2 linked regions of the Coturnix japonica genome follow. The protein of the gene in region 1 purifies or fractionates together with the protein of each later gene. This does not show direct contact. Links are inferred from orthologs where the notes say so. Each region holds a gene or a part of one and is shown on either strand. Other genes may lie near its edges.

What was found. Proteins that work in one complex are often made in the same cells at the same time.
Region 2: the proteins of CDK9 (region 1) and DDX5 purify together in Homo sapiens (affinity purification with western blotting; 3 studies listed by BioGRID, with this or other methods). This does not show direct contact. The link is inferred for Coturnix japonica from reciprocal best matches to the Homo sapiens genes CDK9 and DDX5.

Annotation. Positions count from the first base shown.
Region 1 is NC_029532.1:3,652,311-3,656,504, forward strand, and holds the start of CDK9 (cyclin-dependent kinase 9), read right to left. Parts: upstream 2,801-4,194; 5' UTR 2,758-2,800; coding exon 2,666-2,757; intron 2,361-2,665; coding exon 2,279-2,360; intron 1,857-2,278; coding exon 1,766-1,856; intron 1-1,765. Other genes in the region: SH2D3C (SH2 domain-containing protein 3C), read left to right, coding at 3,600-3,639. UniProt on the Homo sapiens protein: Protein kinase involved in the regulation of transcription.
Region 2 is NC_029533.1:7,249,813-7,253,961, forward strand, and holds the start of DDX5 (probable ATP-dependent RNA helicase DDX5), read left to right. Parts: upstream 1-1,349; 5' UTR 1,350-1,460; coding exon 1,461-1,492; intron 1,493-2,900; coding exon 2,901-3,066; intron 3,067-3,197; coding exon 3,198-3,294; intron 3,295-3,377; coding exon 3,378-3,511; intron 3,512-3,629; coding exon 3,630-3,695; intron 3,696-4,148; coding exon 4,149-4,149. UniProt on the Homo sapiens protein: Involved in the alternative regulation of pre-mRNA splicing; its RNA helicase activity is necessary for increasing tau exon 10 inclusion and occurs in a RBM4-dependent manner. Binds to the tau pre-mRNA in the stem-loop region downstream of exon 10.

The DNA of each region.
Region 1 (4,194 bases):
CAGAGGAACATCAAAACAGGGACTCCAGATGCCTCAAGAGCCTTCAAAAAGAGGTATTAAAACAGCAAAACAAGCAACAGTGGATGAGGATCAGAGTGGTAGTGAACATCATGAGAAAGGCAAAGCAAGAGCAAAAAAGTCTTTGAAAGCTTCATTTGTGTGTTGTGCTGCGTGTATTAACAGCTGTGGGGTTTTGTGCCTACAAACTGCAGCCCGTGGGTGCACACACACAGCTGACAGCCGAGCACAATCATTGCATCAGCATTAGAGGAGGAACAGGCAAAGACAGACTCACAGGAATACAGCAAATATTTCTAAAGCAACATCAGAAAGTGAAGTTTACTGCAACCTCAAATGGTGTCTATGAGAACAGACTGATGCAGATCAATATGATTTAAAACCCCAACTTCAATTGCAATTTATGGTCAATGACAGGAAACCTCAAATGAAGCAATCAATTTCAATCTTGCTCCTAGAGCACACGTGCAAAACACCAAAACAAAAGGCTGATTTTGATCAGCTGTGCACAGCAAAACCTGCTGATCAGCAGCAAGAACCAGAAAATGTGGGCTAAGCTCAGCCTGCACAGTAAATGCAGCCTGGAGGATGCTTTCTAGATTGCACATGACAGTGGTGCCGTCCTCACAACCCCTCTTCCAACATAAAAAGAGAAAAGCTTAAAGTCTGAGAACAGTCAATGAAATGTTTCTGTTTTTCACTTGAATCTGAGGTCAAGGTAGAAAAGTAGAATTTAAACAAGACCCAAACAATCTGACACAGCTACAAAAATATTGACCTGAGACGTGCCAGCAGCATGCAGTCATCACAGCTGGTTTAATCAATCCAAGAATTAAACATTAACTCAGTGTTTTTCCTCCTACCTACTGGTTCAAAAACCGACAGTTACCTACATTCTATGGAGCAACACCAAGTTCCCAGACCTAGGCCTGAGATTCCTACCAGTTGAGTGTAAAAAACAGCAGCAGAAAGGTGCTATTATCAATTGTATTTAACCAAAAAGAACTGACTACAGCATGGCAGGCTTTAATATCATCTGTCGCTTTCCAAACCTCTTTTGCAGTACAAATCCATATAAGAGAAGGATATATAAAAATGAGGAAATGCTTTAAAATGATTTCCCTGGAAACTGAGCCTGGCCAGGTGCATTAAGCACATCAGTCACACAGCAGAGACGTGCTGCCTCCCCCAGGGACTGCCTGCAGCGATGAGATGGAACAGCAGCTCAGCACAGAGCAACTGAATTGCTCACTGTGAAGTGGCAGCACTTCCAATCCAGCCCTCAAAGCCTGGGGGGTTCTGTCATGCACAGGAGAGGCTGAGCAAGTCTCCAGCTGGAGCTGTCACCAGCACAAAGCTCCACGAGCTGCAGAAACACGGCTCCTGCTCCCAATGGCATCAGCATCATAAAGCTGCAAAACCACCACCAGGCAGAAAACGTTCTGTTTCACATTCTCTCCTGCTGCAGGTTCATTTAAAGCCATTCAGCCAGCACACAGACAGCAGTCACTGAGACAGCACAGGCATGTGCCAGCAGCACTGACAACAGCTTTTTCCAGCCAAGCTGCAGCACAGTAGCACTCATTCAAAATGAGTTTCCACAGATGAGCGTGTGGTCACCCCAGATTAAACACATGCTCAGCTGGAGGATCCACCCCCAGTGCAACACAGCAGCCTGCTGAGCCAAGAACAAAGGCTGAAAACAGACACCCCCTCAGCACAGCACAAATGAGACCCCGGCAGCTACCTTTGGTCCTACAGATTTCTATGAGGTTCACCACATTCTCATGCTTCAGCAGCTGGAGGATTTTAATCTCTCGCAGAGCTGTGATGGGGAACTGGAAAGGAGAAGACACAGGTTAGGAGTGCAGCTCACATCTGCTTATAGAACAGGAGAGATTGGACTGCTGCAGCACAGGACACCTGCTTGAGTAGCACTGCAACAGCTCATTTAAGAGTAATTGAAACTACAAAACATTACAGGGGCGACAAAACTCATTGGCCACCCTTAGGATTCTGCCACAAGGTGGAGGTGTTTGTGTGACATGGACACCTGCCCTCCTTTCCCATCTATGAGCACAGCACATGGCAAAGCCCCAATTGACCCACAGCACAACCACCCCACCCCCATGTGCTGTGTGCTGTTACTCAAGACCTGGCACGTTACAGCAGTAAACACCATTAAAGTTAATACACACTGATGTTCCATAGCCCACCCCCCACCCCATCCCCTCCATAGCACAGCACAGCTCACACCTACCCCCTCCTTCTCGTTCTCCATCAGCACCTTCTTCAGCGCCACCTTTTTCCCCGTCTGCCGGTGTTTGGCTTTGAACACCTCCCTGTAACAACAAGAAGAGACCCATGTAACAACAAGGACCCATATAACAACACGGAGAGACCCACGTAACAACAAGGACCCACGTAACAACAACAAGGACCCATATAACAACACGGAGAGACCCATGTAACAACAACAAGGCCCCATGAGCCCCATAAGGAGGAGGCCGAGGCCCGCAGCCCCCACAGCACAAAGGCCCCGGGTCAGGCCGCGGCCTGTTCCCCATGACGCTGAATAACAGCAGATAATCGGCCCCATAGGAGCCATGCCCGGGCTGGGAGCAGAGCCGAGGCCCGCAGCGCTCACCCGAACGTGCCCTGCCCGATCTTGGCGAGCTTCTCGTACTTGGACACCTCATCGCAGAACGGGCACTCCACCATGTCGTACTGCTTGGCCATGCCGGCCGACGGCTTCACTTCCGCCCTCTCGCCTTACGCTATTTCCGGCGCGCCGGCGCGCTGCCTGCTGGGATTTGTAGTCCACCTTAGGCCGCCATGTTGTCACCCCGGATAAACCCGTATCACCCTGCGGCTTTATGGCTGTCTATAGCTGTGTGCCCGCGTTCCCTCCCTCACAGTGTCACCCACATAGGAAGGGCCGTGGCCATACAGGGACACTCCATAGGACAAGGCCCTGGGGCTGCCCACCAGCTCTGGGCCACTGCATCCCCCATAGAAATGACCCCACAGACAACACAGCTCCACCAGCACATGGTGCAGTGGGGCCTTGGGGCTCCACCATGGAGCTGAGCCCCATATGGGGACCTCCAGCCATGGAGCTGCCAGCCTGCCCCATGCCGGCACCCAGCCATTCAAGGGCGGCCCTAAAGCACATTAATCCCATTAATGGCACCTGAGCAGCCAGGAGGGGACTGTAGGGACAACAAGGGATGGGACTGCAAGGATCACAAGGGATGGGAGCACAGGGACAGCAAGGGATGGGACTGCAGGGACAATATGGGATGGGAGTGCAGGGATCACAAGGGATGGGAGTGCAGGGACAACAGGGGATGGGACTGAAGGGACAATAAGGGATGGGAGCACAGGGACAATAAGGGATGGGACCGCAGGGGATAGCGGGGACAGCAGCTGCCATAAGAGCAGATGGCAGCAGCGAGGAGGAAGCGCTGAGTGATTGAGAGAGCAAAGCGAGAGGCGGAGGGGGGACAGGAAGGGAGGAGCAGGCAGGGACAGGCTTCAAGTTTATAAACTTGTCCCTGCAGCCTCCACCCAGCACAGCCATGGCTGAGGGCCAGAAACGAGGGGGCTTCAAGAAATTCAGTAAGTCGTATCGGGATGGAGGGGGTGGGTGCTGGGTGCTCACCTGGGCTGGCGTGGGTGGGAAGGGGGTGTGTGAGTGTGAGCGTGGTCACCTCTCATTAGCAAGAAGTCTTCAGTTTTGTTAGGAAACTGGGGGCTCTGGGGGCTTCCATCCCCACAGCTGGAGCAAACCCTGGTGCTGATGGCTCTGGTGCTGGGGTTGGACTGGGAGCAGTCTGCTTGCACTGGTTGCCAGCATGTGACAGGGGTGAACCATTGCTCTGATCCCCCAAATCACAGCTTTCAGGGAGCATTTACCCCTCTGCATGGCTGGGGCTGGTGGTGTCCAGGAGCCCTCTGTGTGCTCCTGCAGCAGAGGGATGGGGTGGATGCTGGGGATAAATCTGCACTGATGGAGCCGCGCTCGGGACCGAAGCGGTGGGAGCTGAGCACAGAGGAAGTGCTGCTGCCCACCAGGAGGGAGCTGAGCTCTTTCTCACAGCCCTCGGGTTTTCCCCAAAGCCCTCGGAGGAGGCTCCATGGGGCTGCACGCCGCCAGCGCTGCACTGAGCAGGA
Region 2 (4,149 bases), on another chromosome or scaffold:
AGTGTACTGTCAATGTGGAGGCAGGGATTGTTATAAGTGCTTATAAAGGAGGAAAAACAAGGTAGGCTGCAGCTTTGGCTGACAAGGGAGGTGATTCAGATGGTAGGAATATACACAAAAGGTATAAATAAATAGTGAACGATTCACTGATTTTGATAACTCGCTTCGTTTTGGGCCCCCTGTTCTTATCAGGAGGGGGTGTTGAATCGTAAATGCTATTCAGATAGTGTACAGTTAAACTGAAATGCAGTGCATGGTGTGTGAGGAGCTGGGAGTGGGATATAACACAATGTGTGTAGCTGTTAAACGCAGCTCTTGTTATTTTTGTTTCAGAAAAACCTCAGACCGTGAGTTCTGTGAGGAGGTGGGAGGATATAAATGGAGTGTGAAGGCATTTCTCCCTCCTTATGGTGTGTGTGCACTGGGCTGCCAGTAGAGCTGTTATGTACCAGGCCTCACCTCGTTGCTGTGCCCAGAGCCACAGGTGTGAGCTGTTGGTTCCTCCTGGGGCTCCCAAAGGAGGCAGATAAGCAGCGCAGCAGCCACGTCAGCTGCTCCATGTTTGCTGTGCTGTCAGCGCTGTCCCTGCGTGCACTGCTGCACTCCTGGTGACCTTTGAATGGCTGGGGAAAGTAAAAATAGTGACTAATAGTAACTGTATCCAATGCAGGTATGTGCAGCTTGGAAGCGTGCAGTGGGTAAGGGCAGGGTATGAGCGCGCTGCAGAGCATTTAATCCGGCTGCTCTCCTGATTATTTGTGGCCAACCTGTGAAGGCCGCGAGGATTTGCGCCTCTAACTCCTTTAATCGCCCGGAAAGCGAGAGCGGGGCTTCCAGTAACGATGACTGGATAACACAGCGACTGGATAACACAGCCCCGTTTATTTGGATAACACAGCCCCGTTTATCGCTCGGAGCCCTTGAGACCTTCCCCAGGTGGTTCCTCAGTGTCTGTGGGGCCGCAGCATCACCACACACACAGCATCTAACACAGCATCACCACACACGGCTGCGGCCCCTCATCTCCCACCCCGCCGTCCTCTCATCGCACCACTGCCCGCCCCACACCCCGAGGCCTCTCTTGGCCCCAGGCCCGGACCCGCCTCCTGACACCCGCAGTGCGCAGGCGCAGCCGCGGGGGGGGGGGAGGGGGGGAGAGGAGCGGGCGGTGTCGGCACAAGCCCCGCCCCCAAGGGAGGGGCACTTCCGGCGCGCAGCCCGTCAATCATTCCGAGGGGGCGGGGCATTGCGGCGGCTCGGGCCGCTTGTGTAACGGGGGAGGGATCTGCGCATGCGTCACCGCCCGGCTCCCAGCAGCCCGCGCGGCGCCGTATATAACCGGCATCGGGGCGGTGAGGCGTTCTACATTCTGTGGCCCCCACCGACGGCGCCGGATCGCGTCGTGCCCTTCGTCATCCTTTTTAGCGATCGGGACCGTCTCGCCCACCGCCACCATCGCCATGCCCGGGTATTCCAGCGACAGGGACAGAGGGTGAGTCCGGGGGCCCGGCCGGCGCCAGTCGCCGCCAGCGTCCGGACTCTCAGGGCGACCGCGGGGCTCCGCGCGCTGCTGTGGAAGCCGCTCAAAATGGCGGCCGGGCCCGTGGGCTGGGCCTGGAGCGCGGCTCCGCTTTGTGACTGCGGAGCTTCGTGGGGGCGGCGGGGGGGGATCGGCCTCGGCTCACGGCTCAGTTCACAGCTCGGCTCACGGCTCGATCCGGGGCAGCTGGGAGCAGTCATTGGGGGCGGCGTGTGTTGGAGCCGCTCGGGTGCGGGTGGTTGGCGGGGAGCTCCCCCACATCCCCCCCCTCGGGGGGCGGCGGGACGAGGTTTGTGTGTCAGTGGGTTGGCCGGGCGCTGCCGGGCGCTGCGCGATGGCGGAGCCTCGAGGAGCTGAGGGTTGGGCGGTTCCCTCTTCCTCCTTTTCCTGCCCTCGAAGGGGGTCGGCGGCTCGAGCTGTTGCTGGCAGGAGCCGGCCGGCTCCCGCTTTGTGTTGTGTCAGCGGATGTTAATGGCCGGCCCCGCCATGCGGTGACTGAGGGGAAATCAAAATGCCGGCTGCTGCTGCCGCCTTTGTTCCTCCTCCTCCACCCCCCCTCCCCCCCCGCCCAGCTCAGACTCTAAAATGGCAGCGCCTGGAAAATGTGGCGTAGACAGAAATGAGAGACAAAGGAAACAGCGCTGGCAGGAAGCAGCGGCCGCTCGGCTCGGTCCCCTCTGGGAGCGCTGTGCTGTGGTGCACGATCGCTCCCCGCACCCGGTGCCGGGCTGCGGCCGGACGGGGGGAGGCAGCTCCGCGCTCGGCTCCGGGTTAGCGCAGCTCCAGGGGCTCCATGCGGGCACTGAGCCGCGTCCAGCTGCGCTTTGGGGCTGCTGGGATCGGATGGGCTGCGCCGTGTCGCTGCTCAGAACAGAGGGGCACGAGGTTAATAAAACATTAACAGAAAACGCGTGTCCTCACAACGCACGGGCACTGAGAGGAGTTTGTCGTTTGGATACGTGGTAAAAACACGTAGAGGGAAGTTGTAGCCGGGTTTTGTAACAAGCCCTGCCTGCTTTCTGTAGGCTGATAAAATGGGAGTGTCAGTTGGGTAGGAAACCATTTTGATCATGGAGTAATACAGCGGTGTTCATGTTACTTCCTTACCTGTGCTGGATCTTGCCAGTAGGCCATTCTGTTTTATGGGAGCTGCAAAGTAATGCATTACTTCACCTTCTGAGTGTGAAGATAGGTGGATTGCTGCATCTGCCACTTAAGTTTTGAAAGCTTAATATCTCATAGGTGGGGTTGGTAACTCTGAACTGTGAAGTTACAGGGCATACCACAAAGACAGCGGTTACATAATAGCAAGAGGAGAACAAATTTTCTCTTGGATCCTAAATATTGATATATTCTCTAGGTTTGGAGCCCCTCGTTTTGGAGGAAGTAGAGCTGGTCCACTTTCTGGGAAAAAATTTGGAAACCCCGGGGAAAAGCTGACCAAAAAGAAATGGAATTTAGATGAACTGCCCAAATTTGAGAAGAACTTCTATCAAGAACATCCTGATGTAGTCAGACGAACTGCGGTATGTACCCACCCAGCTCACGCAGAAGTAAACAAGCACAAACATGCTTAAGGTCATGGGACCCAGCGTGCAGTAACTTCACTAACTTCCGTGCCAAAGCTGTTTCCAGTAATGAGGTTTTTCTTTTGCAGCAAGAGGTTGAGCAGTACAGGTCAAGCAAAGAAGTCACAGTGAGGGGCCATAACTGTCCAAAACCAATCATAAACTTCTATGAAGCTAACTTTCCTGGTAAGTGCTGGCCAACATATTGTTTTATTTTTTTCCTGTCTTGATTTACAACTTGTGAGTTAAGCTCTAATTTTCTCTTCAAGCAAATGTTATGGAGGTGATTCAGAGGCAGAACTTCACTGAGCCTACTGCTATTCAAGCACAGGGATGGCCTGTTGCCCTGAGTGGATTGGATATGGTTGGAGTTGCACAGACTGGATCAGGGAAAACGCTGTCTGTAAGTTGTGATTATGATGTGGTGTACTGCTGAAATCCAGCAATGAAAGTACAGCCTGGTGTAAGGCAGGCTGAGCTCCTGGGAAGAAACTATAATGTGGCTTTTTTCTTCTGAACAGTACTTGTTGCCTGCTATTGTGCATATAAATCATCAGCCATTCCTGGAGAGAGGAGATGGACCTATTGTAAGTATTCTGAACTGAAGGAGGACCTTAGCTGCTAGAGAAGGTGGATTTCTCACAGTCTAATTGTCCATGTTAATAGGAGTGCATAGTTCTTAATCATGGAAACCTTTTAAAGTGGCCCATGTGTGGTGTTTTGGGTTTCTCTTTTTCTAGTCTCCCAGGAACAGCCCATAAGCTCTGATACGGTTCTATAAAGTTTTACAGAACAGAGCTGCTCTTCCATTTTGGAACTTGCCATCCACTAGAAGCTACAGTGAATTTTGAGTATTTTATCACACATCACTGGCTTGTGTTTAGTAATGGAGATGTTACTTAACTTTGTTTACTTGGTTTGAGATACTCAGTTCTACTTCAGTCAGTCTGGCATTGAAGTGGTGTATAACAACTTTCTGAGTTAAAATGTAAGACTAGAAATTGCATTTATGGAACTAAATCTGGGCATCTTACCTCTAGT